4 linked regions of the Arabidopsis thaliana genome follow. The main gene of each other region encodes a partner of the protein of the gene in region 3 in a complex. Each region holds a gene or a part of one and is shown on either strand. Other genes may lie near its edges. The genes, in order: MED31, AT5G05140, SWP and AT3G10820.

Region 1 (3,848 bases), on a different chromosome or scaffold from region 3:
GTTTTTTGCCTCTTTTTTTCTCTTGATGATGGTATTTTAATTATAATTTTAGAGAAAAGTGGACTATTTCCAAAATTTGGTTTTGATTGCAATCACACATTAGCCCCAAAATTTGGACTATATTAACAAACCTCCCTATAATTAATCATTCAATGGAGAAGAATCTCAACATTTTAAGGTATCAAAGTCATTTCTAATCCATAAGTGTTCATGTTCTTCTTTTATTCATATCCTTGAGTTATGCTATTTTCTTCTCCTTTCTTGAACCGTGAGTTACGTTATACGAGTTTCATCACATATCAAGTTTCGTATACCATGGTCCATAGCACACTCTGTCATGTTTGGGTCTTCTAACTGTTGTCAAAGATACGTCAAAGAGTCATTTCGTACAATTTCCACCAACAAGTGCAACATGGAAACCCCACTCCTAATTAATGTTTTACCGGCAGAAGCAATCTCTGCCAAGGACAAATGTTTGGCATTCCCATAATTTTTCCTATTGCTTCTAAGCTTCTCAAAAAAAATAAAGTGTTGCAATTGTCAAGATCGATAGGAACAAAGATAAAGACTGATACTGATTGGGGGTTGTTGTATATCATAGACAAAGATTGAACACCATATATGACAACTTCCATAAACGGCCTATGACACGGAATGAGTAATACCGAGTTTCCAACATTTTTGTAACCTGAGTCAAGTAGGCTTCCCTCCTAGGACATGGAGGAAACCATATCTGACGACTGACGCCATGGTGTATGCTTCAGGGCAGGAAATGCTTATATACCCTTCCTGACATTATATGACTCACATATTAGAGTGTTGCTTTTTTTCGTAACACATTTGCAGTCATCTTAAAAACACACACAAAATGGTCATCATTATCAAGAAGAAGAAAGGAGCACATACTTTCTCTTCCTACGATCAATTCCAGTAGCACCCATATTCCTAGTGTCATTCTTAGAAAGCATATTATTGTACTGCATTGGAGAAAGGGCTGGAGAGAGAGCAGCAGTTGCAGATGGTGCAGGTGGCAAAGAAGTTGAAGGTGCAACTGGTGGTTGTGGAGGTACAGGCTCTGGAAGAGGCCGAGGTAGAATGTGCTTCAGTCTGTTGTTTCTGTAGTTCTTCCAATAGTAAAACTGTTGTCTATGCGCCAATTCCTGGAAAAATCCAGATTCAACCGAAGACAAAGTTCAAAACTTAAGAAAACTTCAACAACAATAGATTTCCTATAAGAAATTCTGACAAAGGACATAAAGTTTAGAATATTAAACAACTTTCTCTATCTCATGAATAGATGGGCATAAACGCAGAATCACAGAACCAAACTAGCAGAACGTAAGCAAGGTTTTGTACTAGAGAGACCCTAAACTCTACAAGTCCCCAAAACACATTCCAAAAACACCAGTACCCTAACATTTTGAACCACTCCCTATTCACAATGCTCACTAACATGCTGATTTCACTTGATGATTCATATCGTATTCTTGTACCTTGTTTGCAGGATGAGCCATAGCAGTCCTGAAGTTGGGGTTTTGAAGAAGTTCAAGGAAATATAGGCAGTGTGGGTACCTGTAACAAGAACATAGGAAACCAAAGATATATTATCCAAACCTTCACAAGACTCTACAAGACTACACCAATTCCATAAGATATTCCAACTTACATAATGAACTTGATGTACTCTGGTCGCTGCCAGTATTGAAGATACTTCAAGTATCCAATAAATGCTTCATCTTCAAAATACCGATTCTGTGCCAGGTCTGCCAAACAGTAACCAAAAGCAGAATGTGGTAAGTACAAACCCTAAGCCTTAGAACAAATCCCTTTTTAAATCTCAATTTCGAACACTAAAACCCTAAGCCATAGAACGAATTCTAAACTTACAGTGGATGTAAGTAGGATTGGCGAGACATTGAATAAATTCAAGTTCCAGTAAGAATCGTTGCCTTCCACCGTCGGGATCCTTGTAAGTGTTTTTTGGCCTGTAGAGATGCGAATTAGATAATAAAAGAGCAGATTTGAAGAATATGAAAGTGTACAAGAGGAAGAAGATGCACTCACGGGGATGGAATTTCTGATGCATCATCACCCATCTCCTCTGGCGAAGCCATGAACGAACGGAACCTGAAGCAAATTTGGATTCTCCCAATAGAGGAATCAGACGGAGGTAGACGGAGGATTTTGGTTCTGATTTCTGAATTGAATTTTGGTTATAAACCAAAGGCCTAAACCGGTTCTGAATGCAAATAGAAAAAGAGATTGGAAAATTAGTACAAAATTACGGTTTAAGAAGCGGTCTTTTTTTTTTTTTTTCCACAAGAAGCGGTCTTAAAAGAACCGTTATACTCGGTAGCAGATGGAGAAGTCTCTGCCCAAACTTGGAGTTACTTTACATTCAAAGATTCACTTGGTGGCATTTTTAGTCATGTTATGAATCTCTTTCTTACTTATCTCAAGATTATGAATCACAAGGACAAATCTTGAATTTTGAAACATGGACCGGAATCTTTATGCAATCATACAAAAGTTTTTTTGTGACCAATCGATATAGATGTTGCAACTCTTTGTCATGCTAACTATGGTTGAGGATTATAGCAGACAGAAAATCTGAGGACATTTGGCTCCAATGAGTTGGCCCTCAAAAATGTATACTGTACATTGTAATGTTGTAATCCCCGCAAAATGTGACAGCTAAAAAGCTAGAGTTTCCCACAGTTAAAAAAAAAAATCAAAAGACAAGAGCCATCAGACCCTGGACTGACCTATGCAACTCCCAAGACAGTTTTCGTATCCAGCCTGCGTGCTGTACTCAGTTCTTACTTGCCAATCAACACCTTGTGCCAACTTGCCAAGACAAGTTCTGTTTCAGAAGTTAATGGCCTTCAAATTCAGGTGATGGCTTTACAAGTTTTCACCATAGCTTGTGAATCCCAATTGCTAAATCTGATGAGATGGAGACGAGCAGCGGATAAGAAGAGTGCCACTCGGCTTTGAACACTCTTTTCTTATGAGCTTTCATCGAGAGAGACGGGCTCGGTGCATTGTATCGGATATCAAAGATGTGGATCACGGGGTCTGCAGAACCAGATGAGATGTGTAAACCATCTGGAGACCAAGACTGATTAATTAGAGCCGACTGCGATTCACTGCTTTCTTGCTTCCACCCAAAAGAAAATAGTTCTGTCTGAGGCAATCTAACATCATACAACCGCAGTTGCCGGTCTAGCTGCCTGCAAACACAACACAAGCAAAAGAACGGACTTTAAGGCAATCGCTTCTTCTGGGATATATATAAATCAAGAGTCAGTTTTACCTCGTGTTAACCATGACAAGATTAACATCTCGCGGGTTTGGCATTATATTTGTGCATCTGTTGTCTAGTCTATGTTTAAATGTGACTTTTTCTTCTCGGGCATCAAACCCAACAAATCTCCTATCGTCTCCACATGACAAGACGTGATTGTTATGGCGCATTCCAGTAACTCCCATCACAGCCGACGAATGCAAGTCCCTATGCAGAAGCGTCGGCTTCCACGCATTATTCTCACACTGATCCCGCCATAACACTACTGCATGGTCACTCCCACCTGTGATGAAGCAAGGATCATCCCAAGGCGTAAACATGATTCTGTTGATAAGACCTTTGCTATGAGGCCTGTCCTCCATAAATTGCGACTCACATCTCTGCAGATGAACAGATATCCAAAAAGAAATGAGCACATAACTAACTTCCCCAAGGATAAAAGACTATAACCATCAAGTTAGATCTTACAACTAGTAGATAAGTCAAGGGTCGAATCAAATTCCCAATTATTCCAGCTATATTGATTTTTTTCTTTCTAACA
Region 2 (5,745 bases), on a different chromosome or scaffold from region 3:
AGTGTAATCTAACAAAGTATGTAATGGATATAGGTCAATTTATTCATTGCATATTGATTATAAATGAGATTTTTTATATTCTTAAAATAGTATGAATTAGACATTTTGTAGTGATATTTCCAACAACAAAAAAAGATCTCATAATTTTGTTAAAAAAAAAAAAACTAAAGACATTTCGCTGCATCAATAGTAAGATTTAAGTTCTAGAGCTTTTGGAATTGCAGTTTTTTGTTTAGTTTAAAGTTTTGAGATTATGAGTTAATGTTTTAAATTTTGAAACTTACTAAATGTTAAATGTCATTTCAGTTTTTGTACACAGACAACAATATTTTTTGTATTTTCACATGCTCAACTTTTTTTTTCTCTCACATGCTAAAGTTTACAAAAATAACCAACACATCCATACGAATTTACCATCACGCCAAAAATCATTACGTTTGTTTTTGTCCAAAAGTGTTTGGGTGTACTTATTTAATCAAACTAAAAAGTGCATTTTCCTTTTCACGAAATAAAATCGTGACCATAAAACTAGATTTATCTCTATCCAACTGTTTTTCTTTCAATAGAAATGGAGTGAAAGATTAATAGAAGTTGTAGAAGTCCACGTGGTTCATGTGGTGAAATGCGTGAACGCGTAACGCCGAGATAATAACAACATTGAATAAAAAATACCAACACGCACAAAGACCACACTGCAACAACATTCCTATCCATCCACGTTATCTCCCACCCCCCACTACCTTCTCCTCTTTTCTTATCCACCCACCTTCCTTAAGCCTTTCCAATGCCATCTTATTTTATATACATAAGTAATAAGAAATGACAACATTCGGTCACAATCACATTCATTCATAACAATTGGATATCATTATATAAATATTTATTTATTTGGAAAAAAGTGTCATCATCTCTATATTGTGTCCCAAATCATTTCACATTACTATACAAAGTTAGGTGAAGAGCCGGTCAATTTCGAATGAGCTTTTCTACCCTCTCTTTTACTATTTTTATATGATATATATGTAAAAGGGACCTCTCTCCTTGTCCCAAAACCGAACATAACCCGACTAAACCGGGACTGTACCGAAAGTCTCAAGAATGTAGTAAAGAACACATAAAAGAAACAATAATTGGTATCCCTATCTTGCTGCAATTGGTGAATCCAAGACAGAACAAAACAGAGGAGTAAACAGTTTGTTCAAAGTAAAGTTATGTTGGATTCTGTTCCTTCTCCTCTGCTTGTTTCTGTCTCCAGCTTTGTGGAACTAGACTCTGTTTACCTTTATTGCACCAGAGATTGCGAGATATGTGTGGTAAGTATGGAGTAATATCTTTTGCCGAGAATTATTCACCATTTGAACAAAGCAGAAACTATTTTCTCCCATTAGCCCAATTCCTGTTGCTCATTCCAGGTCTCTTGAGTTGCGGTTTCTGAGCACTACCTTGCTTTGGGATCATCTCAAGTACTTGTATCGTTCGCTGCTTCTTGGCTGTGGCAAGATCACAAACATTTTTAAGTTCTTTTGTTTTCAAGAATGTAACAAAAAACTCGAAACAAAAGAAAGGAAATGAAACGAACCATTCTCGTGATGCTGGTAGCTTTCTTGAAGTTTCCTCTTTGCAAACTCAAACTTTGCGTCTGCATCAAGACCTTTAAGTTTCTGCAAGGGACAAGAGCAAAAACACCATCAATTCTACGTCCAAGAATAGGATATTAGACAAGAGCTTTGTCTCCACACTCACTTCTTGTTGAGGTCCAGGAGCTTTCCGCTTCTGTTCTGTAACAACCGGTTTCCTTTGGATCATGGGTTTTTCAGACTTGTGAACAGATACCGTTTCGTTCTTCATCCTTTGCTCTGTACTTTGCTTTACAGGTCTTCTAGTCCCATCAAAATCAGTAGCTGATGATGGCTTAATAGATCTAAAAGGAGCATCTTGTATCCTCATTTGTGTTCCCTCAGGTTTTCTCTTGGCGATATTTTGTGGCCTTCTTTCATGCTCTCGGCTTGTGTTGTGTTCTTCAGAGTTACGAGGATCTGAAACAAACATCCCCAAGAAAATCAATCAACACGTAGCTAAGAACATGTTCTCAAACAAACAAGACATAGTTTTAAAACTCACTTCCATCAAAGTCCAAGGAATCAAAGAAGTGTGAGATTTCAAATCCGTTTGGTTCAGGTGTAAAGATATCAACATCATATGGAAGCGATGGAAACGCCTCTTCTTCATCAAGGACAGACGGGTTTGCAGACTCTGGTGTACCTTCAGCACCTGTTTTAAACACAAAATTAGAACCAAAGACTATGGATCTAATTCAAGAAACCAAACGGTAAGACACGAAGCCAGTCATAAAAGATCGAAAAGCGAGACAGAGAAAGCGCAATTACCAGTGATTTCCTTTGTGGTATTCACCCATTGATCCACCAACTCCTTCCATTCTCTGCATAAACATATCAAAAACTCAAATGTGAGATTCAAAAGTGCAAAAGCATAGCAAATGTCAATCAAACTTGTGAAAGATCAAAAACTCATACGCGATAAGAGTCTTAGCGAGTTGTCGAATCTTATCAGAAGAATGTTTCCTGAGGCCATTAACAGCCTTTCCAATCTCAGTACTCTGCGAGAATAACCGCAAACCTTAAGAATCTCAAGGATCATCAACAACAACTTCATACACTATCCACCAAGATAACCAACCTTAAGAATATCCACATTCAAAGACATCAACTTAAGATGTCTTAAAGAATCGAGTAACACCGAGTTTGGCTGCAAGAGAATACAAAAAAGAACCAATCAGAAAACACAAAAAAAAAATCTTCACATTGATGAAATTTCAAGAACTTGAGAATCAAACCTCATCTTCTTTGTTGAGCAAGATCTCTTTGATCCTAGCAACCTCCTTAGAAACCACAGAAAACTCTTCAATCTCATCACTCAAAGCCTCAGCTTCATCAAATGTATAATTGCTAACAATCTGATTATTATCCCCTCTGCTACTATTAGCTTTGCTCTCTTTACTACCACCAGCAACCTCATAATCTTCATCAACCGCCGTACCACCACCACCATTTCCGGTGGTTCCACGGTTAGCCTCGTCGTCTCCGGGAACAGACAATTCAAGATGGTCGCATCCGACGCAACGATTCACTCTACAGGAGAATAAAAGCTCGGCGATTTTGTCTCTTCTGGATTTGAATTTGTTAGGACAATCAGTAGCAGCCACCATGATCGCATGATCGATGATCCCGAATATATCGGAATCTCCTCGCCGTCGGAAATATTCTCTCCAGCTATCTAATGAACCCGATGCTTTCATCGTTTCTCGATTCAACAAAATCGGAGTCTAATTAACTCAAGAATTTGATTTTTTCCCCAGAAAATTTGAAGAAGAAGCAAAATAGATTTCCAGAAGAAGAAGATTGGGATCGTTGAAGATTGAAGAATTCGAAAAGAGAAGATCAGAAAATATCGAATCTACGACAGAAGATTTACTTACCAAAAAAAGATCAATCAAACTTAAAGGTTGAGACTTTGAAGATTGTTTTGTTCTCAATCAAAATATGATCAAAAACGAAAAGGATTTGTGATCAAAAGAATCTATAGAGAGAGAGATAAACACAAAATCTGTTTGGTAAGTTTTTATTAATTTATTTTTTTTGGTACCTTTCCGAATCTGACAAGAAAACTTTCCCGGAAAGCCCAGAAAGGATTTTCCCGAGAAAAAAATGCACCGCAGCAAAGATGAGAAAGAAGGAGGAAACCCAAAAAAGCAAAAGAGAGAATACAGACAGAACATGAAACAGTTTTGGTTACGTTGTCTATCTAAAACCCAAGTGCTACTACGTTAAACACAGCTACAAATTCAATTCAACAAGAAACCTTTTTATTAATTCAGAAAGAGAAATAATGAAATTTATTTATTTCCTCTGATTGAAGTCTCTCTGTATATCTGTTTGGTAAAAGAGATTTTATTTTTATTTTAAGTTGGATTTTCTTTACGGCTTTCTTTTGACCTGATCGGTCTGTTTTGGCTTTTCATTATTATTATAAAAACACATTATTCTTTTTTTCCTCACACATGCGTTGTACTTGAACGACGACACAAGTTAAGTGATTACAAGGTCAAACTCTTTTTTTTTTTTTTGGGTCATAAATCTTTTTTACGTTGGAAAATGTCAAAAGTAAATTCTACTAAGAGTGTTTAGTTAGTTATACGGACTTTAATGAGAAGCTCTGAAGAAGAGATATTTATTTCCTAATGCTGCTGATCAAAAGCGTTTATCTTCTAGTCAAAGAGTGATATATTAGAATATTTGGTAAATCCGATTCAAAACAATAGTTTCATGTTTTAACAGTTAACACTATCATTTCATTTTATTTTGTTTTATAAGAAATTGGATTAGGTACTTTAATTTGTTCAGATTTGTAAGACAGAGAAACAAGTATTTCTTTGTTTACAATGTTTTAAAAATATCTAACAAAAAAGTTGTTTTATTTTTTTTGTATCCCTTTGTACTTTGGATTAGGTACAAAATGACTCACAATGTTTTAACCTCGTTACCCTCACAGCTTTTTCATTAATTCATCGACTATTTTTTCATAACCCATACTTGTTAAGGCCATTAGGGCATCTCCATCCATGAAAAACCCACAAAGTTTTTCAAACAAAAAAAATATTAATATTATATTATAATTTGATTATTTGATTAAAAAAATATTTTTGTTAAAAAATTAAACCAATAGTAAGATGATAATTGTCATGATGGGTTGTAGAGACTATCTCAGAGTTTCTCAAGTGAGAAACTTTCTACACTCTCTCTCCTTCATTTTCATTATTTTTATTTTTTTAATTGTGAGAAACTCTTATGAGATACTCCCAATAGAGATGGTCTTAGATATGTAGTTTATTTACAATTTATCAATTGTAAATAAAAGTTACAACTCTTCACTTATACTCATAATGTTCCGGTACAATCCAACCAAACCTTAACTTAGATCATATTTATTTTAGAGAATTTACCAAAAAAAGACATAGCATGATAGCATCATGTCATCAATCATCATACATTGTCTTATTTTTGTTGTTGTTGAAAAAAAAAAAAATCAACTGTTTTTCTTTGTATTTGCATTTTCGTTTATGTTTACATGTTCCAAAATGATACCACAATCATAACTGTTTTAATTCAAAGTAAGAACTTTGTTTTGTGTTTACAAAGTTATAAAATAAGTTGGACTATTAAACTTAGCTTGATTTGTTAGAGCAACAACAGAAAATAGAAGAAGAAAAGGAAGTTTCTGTTTGTGGAATGAGAAGCATGTATTAAATGTTGGTCAACAAAATCGACCCCTAAAAATATTATAATTTGATTTTATGTTAATACGTGACAAAACGAAGTCGTACGATTTGGGACGGTGGTGATTACCAATCAGAATTTACTCACCTTCAAACGCGTGAAAAACACTGGGACTCCTTTGAGTGCTAACCTCACGGGCTTGTCACAGCCACGTTTACGTGACAGACTTTGATTGGCCGACACGTCAGCAGATATAGTGGCTGCTTTACGGTGTTTTAGTGGACCTACTTGAAGAAAATGGTGCGTGTTTTGTATACAAGAGATAAGAAATCCATCTACCACGGACGGTCTCATTACAATTTTTTTATTATCTGAATAACCAATTATAGATATAACACCTAATGTATTTTGCTAGAAGTCGACAAAAAAAAATTAGACTGGAGTTGGAAAG
Region 3 (7,780 bases):
AGATAAAAGGGTCCACCTGGGCCCAAAAACACCAACCCTGTTGAGAGATGTTAGGACCCTCGTGTGGGCTGGGCCCAGTCAAAAATCATTGTCTTGTTGTGTATAACAAACATTACAGGTTCACACGTGTGACACACTAGGTCCTTAAATGCTATGAATATATGTGATCTGATTTGTTTTATTTTACCATTAATAAGAAGGAGCTTAAATCGAACAAAACTGAATGATAAAACAAGATTTCACCACTGTATATATCGTAATACAATAATACATGCTGAAAAATATTAAGGTAAATGTGTAGATGTAGAGAACAACATGGCTTAAACACAACCAAACCCATAAATTTATTATTCATGGATATTGGATATATGCATTATATGCATTATTATAAATTAATTGACCTCGTATTAACATTTTTCTAGAAATTGGTGCAGGGGGTGAATCGCGTCTACATCTATGTATTTTACTACATCCCCGTCTGTAAGGATTCACTGGTTGTTCGGAGGGTGCACATGCAGAAGGATACCGATGATGATCACAAGGAAGATCAGGCTTCAACCCTGGATACCCAATTACTTTTCCAACCGTCATGTTCATGCTGCTTATGAACACACATGCTATGAATGTTGCCACTAGCATAAACCTATTTGTTATTTTCATATTGCTCATGATTTGTGTTTATTTATGTGTGTGGGAGAAATATATATTTGTTGGTAAGAATGGTACAGTTCGTGGTATTTATAGTGAATAAATAATTGTGAAAGAGTCTTATACAACTTTTACTTAAAAGGAAATTACAATAGGATGTTGAATTGACCGGTAGAAAATGTACCTACAGAATTCTTTAGTAATACATGTATTATAGATATAGTCCTTTTTTAGCCAAAGTAGTCAAACTAGCTTTTAGATATGCATGTTGTGGTCATAGTAATACTAATACAAAACAGTTTTATAGCCAAAGTAGTCAACAATATTTGAGTTCTATGTACTCTTTTTTTTTTGGTCAAAGAGTTCTATGTACTCTAATATAGTATATCAATATATTAGGTTTCATGTTCTTCCAGTACATGGAGGTGAAAACAAAGCACTTTTTTCTTACAGAAATTTTTTTACATCAATAATATGCAAATATCATAAACTAATAATAATTATAAATACACCAAAATAGTGTGTCAAAATTGGTTGTAGACAACTATTAGAATGAACACATCGCTGGGCTTTTTGGTATTGGGTTCAAAGTATATATAAAAATTCATGCTGGTTCTTTATTTGCCGCCCAACATAAATTAGTTGGACAAGTGAGAAGGCCTTGCTACTCCTACATGCGTTACACTATTACAGTATTACTATTGCTTCATAGAAAAATAAACCTCGTACCAAAATCTCAAATAAGTGTTTCTTGTGGTTCCTTATGAAAAATTGTTATACACTATTACAGTATTACTATTCACCGTTTATTGTCGGAACTCGGAACAACGTTTTCACCGTCCAATTGTTATACACACTATTCACCATATATACATTAATACATCACACATCTTCTACTTAAGAGTGTAGTGTACATTAATGATAATTTTGTAATTAACCTTTTTAATGATGGTTAAAATGTCTAATTAATAATTTAATAGTGACTTACTTGCTTACGTGGATAAAAGAGAGACCCCACACAAAAATTAGATTTTGCCGTCTGTTAAAAAAAAAGGCTTCTTCAGCCGATTTCTCCAAAAATCGTTTTTTTTTTTTTTTTTTTCATCTTCCGTTCAACGTTTTGCGTTCGACTCTTCCCTGACCCCTTTCAATTTTAAACCCTTTTTCTCTGTCTCTCTTGTCCGAATCAAATCCGGTTGCTGGAAAAGGGAAGCTTTGTGCTTTTGTCGTCGTGGTGGGGGAAGCGGAGGATAAGAACCCTAATTTTTTACGAATCGTGAGATCTCCTAAGTTTCTGAATCGGGTGGTGGCGATTTTGTTTCTTTCTCCGCGATGGCGGAATTAGGGCAACAGACGGTGGATTTCTCTGCTCTTGTTGGTCGAGCCGCAGAGGAATCGTTCCTTTCTTTTAAGGAACTTGTGGATAAGTCTAAGTCGACGGAGCTTTCTGATACTGAGAAGAAGGTTAGCCTCCTTAAGTATGTCGCTAAGACTCAGCAACGGATGCTCCGCCTCAATGCCCTCGCCAAGTGGTGTAAACAGGTTTGTCTTTCTCTGTTTCTCGCTAAGTATTAACGTTTTGGGTCTGTGGGTCGAAGTGAAAGTTTGAAGCTTTCTTGGACTGGAATTGGATATGTTGCAAGATTAGGGTTTGGTTTTGTTGATTGCATGATCTATTAGTTTTAAACACATTTCCCGTGGATATAGTTTTGATGTTTGTAGGATGATTTACAGACTTTGAATGGAATTGGAAGATCCTTTTGTGTGATCTTGTCCTTGATGGGTTTTTGTTGTTTGGATTACGTTGCTTGTCTACTAAAGTTTAGATTTGTCTCTTAAATTCCATGGAACTTCACATTCCAAGTAGGCTTATCAATGTTATCATGTACTTCTGTTATTTCTGCATATTTTAAGAAATTTATGACTGTAGTGTCTCTGTAAAAATTCAAGGTAGTTTACTTCAGATCAACGTTCCATTTTAAAAAATTATGATTTCATAGATTGTTGATGCTTGCTTGTGTTCACTTTCTTTACAGAGTAAGTATTCGAAAATTTATTGAGCTATTTATTCATTTTTGGCTAAACCTCCTGGGCTGCAGGTTCCTCTTATAAACTACTTTCAAGACCTTGGGAGTACATTATCAGCTCATGACATATGCTTCACACAAGCTGCGGATTCGCTGTTTTTTATGCATGAAGGTCTACAGCAAGCTCGCGCTCCTGTCTATGACGTTCCCTCTGCTGTTGAGATTTTGCTGACAGGTTCTTATCAGCGCCTGCCAAAGTGTCTAGATGATGTGGGCATGCAGAGCTCTTTGGATGAGCATCAACAGAAACCAGCTCTAAGAAAGCTGGAGGTACTTGTACGTTCCAAACTGCTTGAAATCACACTTCCAAAAGAAATAACAGAGGTGAAAATTTCTAAAGGTACAGTTACCTTATCTGTCGATGGGGAATTTAAAGTTCTTGTTACTCTTGGTTACCGAGGGCACCTATCCATGTGGCGGATATTGCATTTGGATCTACTTGTTGGTGAAAGAAGTGGCCCCATTAAACTTGAAGTGACAAGACGGCATATCCTTGGAGATGATTTAGAGCGTCGAATGTCCGTGGCAGAAAATCCATTCACAATTTTATATGCGGTGCTCCATGAGCTGTGCGTTGCCATTGTCATGGACACAGTCATAAGACAGGTCCGAGCTCTTCTGCAGGGGAGATGGAAAGATGCAATTCGCTTCGACTTAATTTCAGATACTGGTACCACACCAGCGAACCAAGAAGGAGAGGCAGATTCTGTTAGTCTTCGAACGCCAGGAATGAAACTTTTTTACTGGTCAGATTCTGATAAAAATTCTGGCCCATTTATTAAAATTGAACCAGGGTCAGATCTCCAGATTAAATGTTCTCACAGCACATTTGTAATTGACCCACTTACTGGCAAGGAAGCTGAGTTTTCTCTCGACCAGAGCTGCATTGACGTGGAGAAGCTTCTGCTTAAAGCTATATGCTGTAATAGATATACCCGTCTTCTTGAAATTCAGAAAGAGCTTTTGAGGAATACTCGTATTTGTCGAACTCCAAGTGATGTGATCCTTCAAGCCCTCCTGGATGAGCCTGGTATTGAGGTAAAGAAAGAGTTGTTTTCGGCTTAATGTTGAATATTTTGTTCCTTGAAAGTTGTAGGACTTTTTCCCAGGTCAGAGCTACTTACACTAGTTGGACATTTAGTATGTCACTTGCATGTCAATAGATAGATTTCTGTTTATGACACATAGCCCTTGCTAAATAATGCATAGCTTTCATGCTATAGACCATGAGATTAAGCATTAATAATCGCAAATTTAAATTTCAGAGATGGCCGAACCTAGGTTTCGATAATTTATATTTTTTCGAAAAAGTAGTTTAATTTTTGCAGTTCACATGGCCTATTGCCTAGCTTCTTTTGGCTGGGGAGCTAGTATAGTTAGGCCATATTTCTCTTGCTGTCTCAACAACTAATTGAATTTAATTGGATCATTTTCTCTTTCGCCATTCTTTTAGGGAGATAACATGGTAGACTCTAAAGAGCGAGTAGAGCCAGAGGTCTTACGAGTGCGAGCCTATGGATCTTCATTTTTCACACTGGGGATAAATATAAGGTATGATATCTTCATCTATGTATTGGGAGAGATCTTATTTTAGCTGACTATTCTCACTATATGTTATTGATTGCAGGACTGGTCGGTTTCTTCTACAGTCATCCAAGAGTATCTTGACCTCCTCCATCTTGGAGGAATTTGAAGATGCGTTAAACCAAGGAAGTATATCTGCAGTTGATGCCTTTATCAACTTGAGAAGCAAAAGTATTTTGCATTTTTTTGCTGCTATTGGCAAATTTTTGGGTCTTGAGGTAGTAATTGTTTGCCTCAGCTTGTTGTTCAAATTCACTCTCTGGAGTTGGGAGTGTTGACGTTTGCGTTTAATGCAGGTCTATGAACATGGTTTTGGTATAAACAAAGTTCCTAAAAGCCTCTTGGATGGGTCAAGCATTCTGACTTTGGGATTCCCTGACTGTGAAAGCTCTCACCTTTTGCTAATGGAGCTCGAAAAGGACTTCACACCATTGTTTAAATTACTGGAAACTCAGATGGATGGTTCGGGAAAACCTCAGTCTTTCAATGATCCAAGCAATATTTTGCGAGCTAAGAAAATTGATATAGGGCAGATACGGATTCTCGAAGATGATCTTAACTTGATTACATCCGATGTGGTTAAATTTGTATCTTCATTCTCGGATGCTGAGGGCATAAATCAAGCATCTGGACACCGTCAGCCTGGATTGGTTGACGAGGCTTTGACAGAAATGAGTGGAAGCCAGTTGAGTTTCTCTAGTGTCGTAGATGGAGTGTTTGGACTTCAGAAAGTGACATCTGCTCTTATGTCAATTGATGGACATGGTTTAGTTCCCAAAAATCTCTCTGCTGTTACCGGCCATGGAAAAGCTCCAATGTTGACTAGCTATCATTCAGATTCCTTGTATAATCGACAGGGTCCCTTACAATCTAGCTCTTATAATATGTTATCATCTCCCCCTGGGAAGGGTTCAGCTATGAAGAAGATAGCCATCTCTAACTCTGACCAGGAGTTATCCCTGATACTGTCTCCATCCCTCTCTACTGGGAATGGAGTCTCTGAGTCAGGCTCTAGACTGGTCACTGAATCCTCATTGTCACCTCTTCCCCTATGTAAGAACATTTTTCCATAGCCTTTTTTTTTACCTTCATAGAACTTTCTCAATATTAGAATTCAAAAATTTCCGTTATTTGCAGCTCAAACAGCTGATCTTGCAACATCATCTGCTGGTCCTTTGTTAAGGAAAGATCAGAAGCCCCGGAAACGTTCAGCTTCAGATTTGCTAAGATTGATCCCATCCCTCCAGGTAGTGGAAGGTGTTGCTAGTCCCAATAAGAGAAGAAAAACCTCTGAACTGGTACAGAGTGAATTAGTGAAGAGTTGGAGCCCTGCATCACAGACCTTATCCACTGCCGTGTCAACATCAACAAAAACTATAGGATGCAGCTATGGGAATCTCATAGCTGAAGCAAACAAGGGGAATGCACCTTCAAGCGTTTTTGTTTATGCTCTTCTCCATGTGGTCAGGCATTCTTCGTTGTCCATAAAGCATGCCAAACTAACTAGTCAGATGGAGGCATTGGATATTCAATATGTTGAGGAAATGGGACTAAGAGATGCATTTTCAGATATATGGTTCAGGCTTCCATTTGCTCAAAATGATTCCTGGCAACATATATGCTTGCAGCTTGGTAGACCTGGAAGCATGTGTTGGGATGTGAAAATAAATGACCAACACTTTAGGGATCTCTGGGAACTTCAAAAGGGAAGTAAAACCACACCATGGGGTTCTGGAGTTCACATTGCGAATTCATCTGATGTTGATTCTCATATCCGTTATGACCCTGAAGGTGTTGTTCTGAGCTATCAGTCTGTGGAAGCCGATAGTATAAAGAAGCTTGTGGCCGACATACAAAGGCTTTCAAATGCTAGAATGTTCTCCCTTGGTATGCGGAAACTACTTGGCATAAAGCCAGATGAAAAAACAGAAGAGTGCAGTGCTAATTCCACTATGAAAGGATCTACTGGAGGAAAAGGCAGTGGTGAGCCAGTAGATAGGTGGAGAGCTTTCAAGATTGAGGCTGTGGGATTAACAAGCCTGTGGTTTAGCTTTGGTTCAGGCGTTTTGGCGCGTTTTGTTGTCGAGTGGGAATCAGGTAAAGATGGATGCACCATGCATGTCTCTCCTGACCAACTATGGCCACATACAAAGGTGAGTAGTTCGCAGGACTTAACATTTGCTCTCTTCATGGGAAATATTTTTATTATAAGAGTTCCAAATATATGCTTTTTCTCATCGTGAGTTACTCTTGTACAGTTCTTGGAGGATTTCATAAACGGAGCAGAGGTAGAATCCCTTTTGGATTGCATTCGCCTTACTGCTGGGCCTTTGCATGCATTAGCTGCCGCTACTCGCCCTGCCCGAGCTAGTACTGCCACTGGCATGCCTGTTGTACCTGCTACAGCGTCTTCAAGACAATCAAATCAGATACAACAAACTCAAGGAATCATTGCCCCTTCAACTTTAGCAGCTCCTAATGCTACTGGCCAGTCTGCCTCAGCAACTTCAGGAAATACTGTTGCTTCTTCTGCTCCAAGCCCACTTGGTGGAGGTTTCCATGGAGTTGCAATGCTAGCAGCTGCAGGGAGAAGCGGACCTGGCATCGTTCCAAGCTCTCTCTTGCCCATCGATGTCTCTGTAGTACTCCGTGGACCCTATTGGATAAGGATCATATACCGTAAACGTTTTGCAGTAGACATGAGATGTTTTGCTGGAGATCAAGTCTGGTTGCAGCCAGCAACTCCACCCAAGGGTGGTGCTTCTATTGGAGGCTCCTTGCCATGTCCCCAATTCAGACCTTTCATCATGGAGCATGTTGCTCAAGAATTGAACGGTTTAGAACCAAATTTGACAGGTAGCCAAGGAGCAACAAATCCCAACAGTGGAAACCCAACTGTTAACGGTGTGAACAGAGTTAACTTTTCCCCTTCTAGTGCAAGAGCTGCAATGAATCGAGTAGCCAGTGTTGCTTCAGGATCTTTAGTGGTTAGCTCAGGATTGCCTGTGCGTAGAACACCAGGCACTGCTGTACCAGCGCATGTAAGAGGTGAATTAAACACAGCGATAATCGGTTTAGGTGATGACGGTGGCTATGGCGGAGGATGGGTTCCTCTTGTGGCTCTTAAAAAGGTTTTGCGTGGTATCCTTAAATATCTTGGAGTACTGTGGCTATTTGCTCAGTTACCAGATCTCTTAAGAGAGATCTTGGGTTCCATCTTGAAGGATAACGAAGGCGCTCTCTTGAATTTAGACCAAGAACAACCAGCCTTACGCTTCTTTGTCGGGTAAGCCAAACCAAGAAACTTATGCTCAATCTTGAAGGATTATGCTTAAGCTTATCTATTGTTTTGTTTTTTTGTTGTTTTTGTTTTTGCAGTGGCTATGTGTTTGCGGTGAGTGTCCATAGAGTTCAGCTCCTTCTTCAAGTCCTTAGCGTAAGGCGATTCCATCACCAAGCAC
Region 4 (6,031 bases), 2.1 Mb from region 3:
TCTTTCTATAAGATTCTGACAATGAATTAGAAATTGGAACCAAATATTGTGCATTGTATGTCTGAACTCTGAACCAATGACATCATACTATCTTCATGTTTCTAATAGTTCTGATTGTGACGGGAGATACGGACCGTATTGTGCCAGCATGGAACGCAGAGAGGCTGGCACGAGCCATACCGGGATCAGTGTTCGAAGTAATTAAGAAATGTGGTCATCTTCCTCAAGAGGAAAAACCAGATGAATTCATATCTATTGTTGCAAAGTTTCTAGGGAATGCTTTTGGAGGGTCACAACAACAAGACGTGGACTTGAAGTTCCAAGGCATTGTATCATGAAGTATAACTATATATTTTAGCTCAATCAAGACTAAATTTTAGAGAGATTCTTCATGTTATTGGACCTGAAGAAACAAATGTCGACAATATCAAAGACTAGATAGATATAGAATAAAATAACCGAGAGACATTGATTCTTCAACAGATTGATATATAAGCGAGAATAATACACCATGTGGTGCTTCTTGCGAGTGCGGGCAAGTTTTGCAGAGTCCAGTTGATTAGCTTGGAGCTTGAAGCTGGCTTGAAGCTCCAACTCGTCAAGCCAACGCAAAGTTTCTGGAAGAACAAAGTCGGCAACATTTTGAAACTCAAAGCGAGGGGTGCAAAGGACTGTGCAGTCTTCCTCAGCCAAGAGGGCGACATGCTTCTTGTTCGTCAGAGTAGCAGCAGTCTCATCTTCCAGATTCTTCTCATTCGCCTGAGCCATGTACTGCCTGAACTTTTCGAGATAAGCCAAACTAGGGGCGCATCTCATTGCAATAGTAAACATGTAACCAAGAGCATCCACTTTCAGGCGCTTGCACTTGTCCAGTGAATCACAATCTCATGCGGATACTGTGAATCAGTTTCCTTGCATATAGCAACTTGTTGGCGAGCAAGAGACAAGTGAGTAGGATCAAATCGCTGATAGAGGAGGCCACCGGGATGAGTTCGATTGCGGGGAGGAAACTCTCTAGAAACCTTAGAGAGCATATGCATAAAGGTTTTCCCTACGCACCTAACCGTCTCGACGGAAGTCTTATGGATAAGGTCAAACTTAGGGCAAGCCTTGGCCTCGAACCTGACAAAGAGTGATCTCGTAAGGTCCTTGAGAGAAACAGATACGATGGCATCAACAAAATCCTTTTCAGTTAGAAGGACACTCATCTTCTTGAAAATCATCATCTCATCCACCATCTCTGCTTTATCTATCTGCACAAGTACGAGTCCAAAATATACAGGAATATCAATCATCAACTCATCATGTCTACATATGCAGCTAAATTTCAATTCTATGCAATGCAAACAGAGACCATTGTTTTACCAAACCTATGCTCTCACTTATGTTTATCAATAAAGGCCACAAAATTAGGGCTTTTCGATTTCCAATCAAAGACTTTCGGTTGTATCCCCGACGTACAAAATCTAGGCCAGAATTCTTAACAGCTCAACGTTTAACCCATCAGGTTTATCGATAACTAGCACTAGGAAAACAAAATTTACAACAAGGAAAATTGAAGTAGGTACCTTGAGAATTGGGAGGAACTATCACGAGGATTCGCGAGATTGAGGATGAGGGAAGGTAACTCGTAACCCTAGGAATTTATCACTCTGTTATATTTCACCTCATAAGTGATATTAAAAATTACAAAATCTTTGTATAAACAGATTTAAAAAGTTTGCTTGCCTCGCAAGTTAGGTTTAGGGATGGTCAAATACGAGAAGCCCTTTTGTCCTAATAATTTTCTTTTTTATTTTCATAATGAAACATGAAGAAAGTGAAAAAGGGATTTTCCCTTGTCACAATTATGAGGTTCTATTGTCACAAAACCGGACCAAACCGGGAATTCACTGGACCAGAAGTACCAATAAATACTGGGACAAAAGAATAGAGCATCCTAAGAAGTTTATGTTGGATCTGTCAATGCACTTTTGTTGTATATTAACGCCTCTGAATGGTCGTAGTAATTGTATAGATCATCCGAAGGAAAAAATGGACTATCTTCGTGTGGCGGGTCTCTTGAGTTGCGGTTTCTGAACTTTATTTTGCTTTGGGATAGTTTCCAGTACTTGTATCGTCCTCTGTCTCTTAGCTGTTCAAAAACAAATGGGTCATTAAGAATTAGGTGTATTGTAATAGTGGAAATATTGAAATCTCTTAAGACGATTTGACTAACCATTCTCATGTTGGTGGTAGCTCTCTTGGAGTTTCCGCTTTGCAAACTCAAACTTTGAGTCTGGATCCAGAGCTTTGAGTTTCTGAACAAAGACAAGAACACTTGCTATTAGAAACAAAACAGATTAATAATCAAACACCACGGCTTTATTAACTCAAACACTCACATCTTGTTGAGGTCCAGCAAGTTTCCGCTTTTGCTCAGTAACAGCAGTTGGTTTTCGTTGGATTGCGGATACCATTTGTTCTCTACTTTGCTTTGTTTGTCTTTTAGGCTCGACAACATCTGTGGCTGAGTGCTTCATAGGTCTAACATCAGCTTCTTCTCTCCTCGTCTGTTGATCATTGCAGTACCTCCCAACCACATTTGCATCATTTGTTCCCTTGGGTCTCCTCCCCGCACTACTTTGCGATTTTCTTTCATGTTTGGACTCCACACTGTGACGAGGATCTGAAAACAGTGGCCACCATGAGTGTCAAAATATAGGAAAACTTTCAAGTAGAGAACAGAGTACCAAAGAGTATACTAACTCACTTCCATCGCAGTCCAAACAATCTAAGATCTTCAAGTGACCCAAGACATTATGAAACAAGGACGAGGGAGGAAACTTGTCAGGATAACATTTCGTCTATGCCAGAAATAAAATATGATGAGAGGGAAAAATGTTAATAGACCTGAGAAAGTTCAAACCCATTAGGTTCAGGTGCATAGATATCTAAATCATGTGGAGGAGAAGGAAAGGCTTCTTCTTCATCAATTACTGAAAGGTTTAGAGACTCTGGCGTCCCTTCAGTGCCTGCAAGACCCAATTACTATAAATCTAGACCAAAACCTGCTCGCACTGACTACGGAACAGGAGGAGAGAGCTATTTACCAGCCATTTCCTCTGGGGTGTTCATCCACTGGTCCACCAGCCTCTTCCACTCTCTGTGCATCCCATATATAAAAACACAATCTTTATACTCGGGAGCCAGAAAGTAAGGAAGAGTAAAATGTTCTAAGTATTGAGCTAACACAAGAGCAGCTCCCTAATGATCAACCAAGGCTTTTATAATGACATTTTACAATTTGAGACATCCTACAAGGCAACTGGTTTGCATCTAAATCAAACCGTGGAGGTTCAATTTTTTTGGAACATTTTGCCAAAGTTTAATTCACATCACAGATGCGAGAGTATGAGAACAAATGAAACTAAGCACACAATGAGAATGATGAAACTCATACGCGAAAAGAGTCTTTGCAAGTTTGCTAATCTTATCGGAACTATGTCTCCTCAGACCATTAACAGCCTTTCCAATTTCAGTATCCTGCAAGAACGTAAACACTTAAATCACTCCACAGCCTCGAAAAGCTCCATCAGAATAAGCAACTTCCACTACACCAAATCATACAATATCAAAACAACACCAAAAAAACAAACCTTAAGAATGTCCACACTCATAGACATTGACTCAAGCTTTCTCAGAGATTCGAGTAACACAGAATCTTTCTGCAAAAAAGATGACAGAAACCAAAAACTCAACAATCAACACAAAGATTCCAAATTTAACCAATGAATTAGCACAAGTTTTAATGTAATCCAAGCAAAGAGACTAAAAACCTCATCGTCTTTGTTCGACAAGATATCTCTGATCCTCATAACCTCATCAACACTCACAGACGCCTCTTCACCTTCACCCGTCGCAACACCAGAATCACCCCTATCACCGCCGCCGCCAACTCCAACTATCTCCACCGCCGCTTCGTCTCCAGCTATCGAGAGCTCAAGGTGGTCACAACCAATGCAGCGACTCACTTTACAAGAGAAGAGAAGCTCAGCAATTCTATCACTCCTGGATTTAAACTCCTTTGGCCAATCTGCAGCAGCTACCATAATCGCATGATCAATGATACCAAAAATATCAGAATCTCCTCGCCGGAAATACTCTCTCCAAGTATCCAACGAAACAGATGGTCTCATCTTCGCCATCACGAAACGGCGAGGGAAAATCGATTCCGGAATCCGAATTCCTCGATCTGCAAAACCCTAATTAAATTTGAATTTAGGTTTTTGAATACGAATCAATATAGTACTAGTTGTGTAGTTTTTTTTTTTTTTAAGTTTCTCTGCAGGAAATAAAATTCGCCTGAGAATCTGACAAAAGTTTCTGCAGAAAGTCCACAAGAACTTTCCCGAGAAAACTTAAAGAAACAGAGCTTGAGCCAATTAAAAGAGGGCAAGAGAAGAAGACCCTAGAATTTTAAAAAGCCAGAAATTTATGTCGACATTAAAAAACTTAGGTTATAAAAAAAAATGGTAATAGTTTTGATCATTTATCTTGATAACTCATCTGTTTTATTTAAGTAAAATATTGAATTTGTCAATATATATATTAATTCTAAAGATATAGGCTTATGATTAACTGAATGATTATTTAGTTAATAGTAAATTAGTAATAACTAGACTATACATGTGTCGTCCTATATGACATAATGACCCTTGATGAAAAACACGTCACATGGCCTAGCTAGTATAAAGATGGGATATTCGTTTTTTTAAAGTTATGTTATCAACATTACATTCAGAGCATACTGTAATAGTAAATTATTAACACATTACACATGTCCTGATACCAACAATGGGGTACTCATTTTTCAAAGTTATGGATAATTACATTTATCACGTGAATTACTTGAAAGGTAATCTAAATAAACGCGTTTTTGGTGTCGCAATTATGTCGTTTTAAAAAGCATTGTTCATAGTCCCACAGATGTTTAGCACTATTTTTTAATTAGTACTAGTATTAAATTATTATTTTTGTATTTTTTTCATTAAATTTCTCGTTAGTTTCGTGCTTTGACTCTTTTGTTAAGCTTCAGCCACATGTTCCCGTTGTTGAAGCTGTCTTTTGAAGTTTCGTCGTCGATATCATCCTCGACTCTATTTTCAGTTGCGTTAAAGACTTCTCTTCTTCCAAAAGTTTCCTTTTCTTCTATTTTAAATATTCTTTCAGCACTTGGAGATTCACAAGTTTGTCGGATCAATCCATTTTAACTCCGGTAAGCCATACTTGCATGATTCGTTTTGTTTCCACCGATCACATGTTATCGTTTATGCTCCATAGCTTAATCTTTGACTCATTCATGATCTTTTTTTGGTTTAATGTTAAAACCCATGCATGATCTTGTTTCTGCATATTTTTGTTTTGGTTCAGTGTAAAAATTTCTGCATAATTTTGGTTCTACAAAAATAGCTACTATGCAAAAGCAAGATCACGGGGTCAAAGATTAAGCTATGGAGCTTAAACACTACTTGTATTTGACTATTTGTTTCTACGTCATTTGCGTTTGATTTGAATCTAAAGGCCTTTTAATCGATTTCTTGTCATGTGTTTGTAAGGGTTCAGTGTTTTATGTATCTTTCAAATTGTGCTTCTAGTGTATCCATTTTGGATTTGTGAAAGTTGTTTAGGGCTTATATATCTAAAATTGTAAAACCTATTTTAAATTAATATAACAAAACAGTTTCGGACTTTTAACTCATAATATCTCTTCGAATTTAGTTCATTTTCCAACTTTGAAATTCGTTGGCTTGTGATCTTGAAGCCTTGTTCCGTCCGGAATTTATGTTACTTAGTCACCAGTAGAGTTACAAACGATGAGTTATTTTAATCTTTTTTCTAAAAGGTCCTTGACAATGGTTTGACGAGAAAAAATCGTTTTTCCTTTTTGCAGATCCATGACTACGACTAGGCGGAAAAATACACATTGGTGTCATACTTGTAGACGAGGAATCCATCTTCAAGGAGAAGGCAGAAGAGAAGGAGCTTGCAT

Evidence for each region.
Region 1: SWP (region 3) and MED31 share a complex: the UniProt entries of both Arabidopsis thaliana proteins name them as parts of the mediator complex.
Region 2: SWP (region 3) and AT5G05140 share a complex: the UniProt entries of both Arabidopsis thaliana proteins name them as parts of the mediator complex.
Region 4: SWP (region 3) and AT3G10820 share a complex: the UniProt entries of both Arabidopsis thaliana proteins name them as parts of the mediator complex.

What each region holds. Positions count from the first base shown.
Region 1 is NC_003076.8:6,730,708-6,734,555, forward strand, and holds MED31 (SOH1 family protein), read right to left. Parts: upstream 2,284-3,848; 5' UTR 2,115-2,283; coding exon 2,065-2,114; intron 1,986-2,064; coding exon 1,888-1,985; intron 1,764-1,887; coding exon 1,667-1,763; intron 1,573-1,666; coding exon 1,494-1,572; intron 1,429-1,493; coding exon 1,339-1,428; intron 1,161-1,338; coding exon 907-1,160; intron 790-906; coding exon 777-789; 3' UTR 529-776; downstream 1-528. Other genes in the region: AT5G19920 (Transducin/WD40 repeat-like superfamily protein), read right to left, coding at 2,915-3,233, 3,317-3,687. UniProt on the Arabidopsis thaliana protein: Component of the Mediator complex, a coactivator involved in the regulated transcription of nearly all RNA polymerase II-dependent genes.
Region 2 is NC_003076.8:1,517,924-1,523,668, reverse strand, and holds AT5G05140 (Transcription elongation factor (TFIIS) family protein), read right to left. Parts: upstream 3,965-5,745; 5' UTR 3,317-3,964; coding exon 2,855-3,316; intron 2,767-2,854; coding exon 2,698-2,766; intron 2,618-2,697; coding exon 2,535-2,617; intron 2,441-2,534; coding exon 2,388-2,440; intron 2,272-2,387; coding exon 2,122-2,271; intron 2,037-2,121; coding exon 1,744-2,036; intron 1,662-1,743; coding exon 1,580-1,661; intron 1,491-1,579; coding exon 1,372-1,490; 3' UTR 532-1,371; downstream 1-531. UniProt on the Arabidopsis thaliana protein: Component of the Mediator complex, a coactivator involved in the regulated transcription of nearly all RNA polymerase II-dependent genes.
Region 3 is NC_003074.8:1,292,057-1,299,836, forward strand, and holds the start of SWP (RNA polymerase II transcription mediator), read left to right. Parts: upstream 1-1,741; 5' UTR 1,742-1,980; coding exon 1,981-2,190; intron 2,191-2,747; coding exon 2,748-3,773; intron 3,774-4,188; coding exon 4,189-4,286; intron 4,287-4,362; coding exon 4,363-4,537; intron 4,538-4,615; coding exon 4,616-5,372; intron 5,373-5,456; coding exon 5,457-6,472; intron 6,473-6,577; coding exon 6,578-7,605; intron 7,606-7,697; coding exon 7,698-7,780. Other genes in the region: RALFL21 (RALF-like 21), read right to left, coding at 352-669. UniProt on the Arabidopsis thaliana protein: Component of the Mediator complex, a coactivator involved in the regulated transcription of nearly all RNA polymerase II-dependent genes.
Region 4 is NC_003074.8:3,385,514-3,391,544, reverse strand, and holds AT3G10820 (Transcription elongation factor (TFIIS) family protein), read right to left. Parts: upstream 4,346-6,031; 5' UTR 4,188-4,345; coding exon 3,819-4,187; intron 3,708-3,818; coding exon 3,639-3,707; intron 3,526-3,638; coding exon 3,443-3,525; intron 3,146-3,442; coding exon 3,093-3,145; intron 3,015-3,092; coding exon 2,893-3,014; intron 2,781-2,892; coding exon 2,753-2,780; intron 2,669-2,752; coding exon 2,385-2,668; intron 2,301-2,384; coding exon 2,219-2,300; intron 2,135-2,218; coding exon 2,041-2,134; coding exon of another isoform or gene 2,040-2,040; exon of another isoform or gene 1,917-2,039; coding exon 1,883-1,916; exon of another isoform or gene 1,637-1,882; coding exon 1,569-1,636; intron 1,393-1,568; exon of another isoform or gene 1,309-1,392; coding exon 852-1,308; 3' UTR 542-851; downstream 1-541. Other genes in the region: AT3G10840 (alpha/beta-Hydrolases superfamily protein), read left to right, coding at 109-338; AT3G10815 (RING/U-box superfamily protein), read left to right, coding at 5,937-6,031. UniProt on the Arabidopsis thaliana protein: Component of the Mediator complex, a coactivator involved in the regulated transcription of nearly all RNA polymerase II-dependent genes.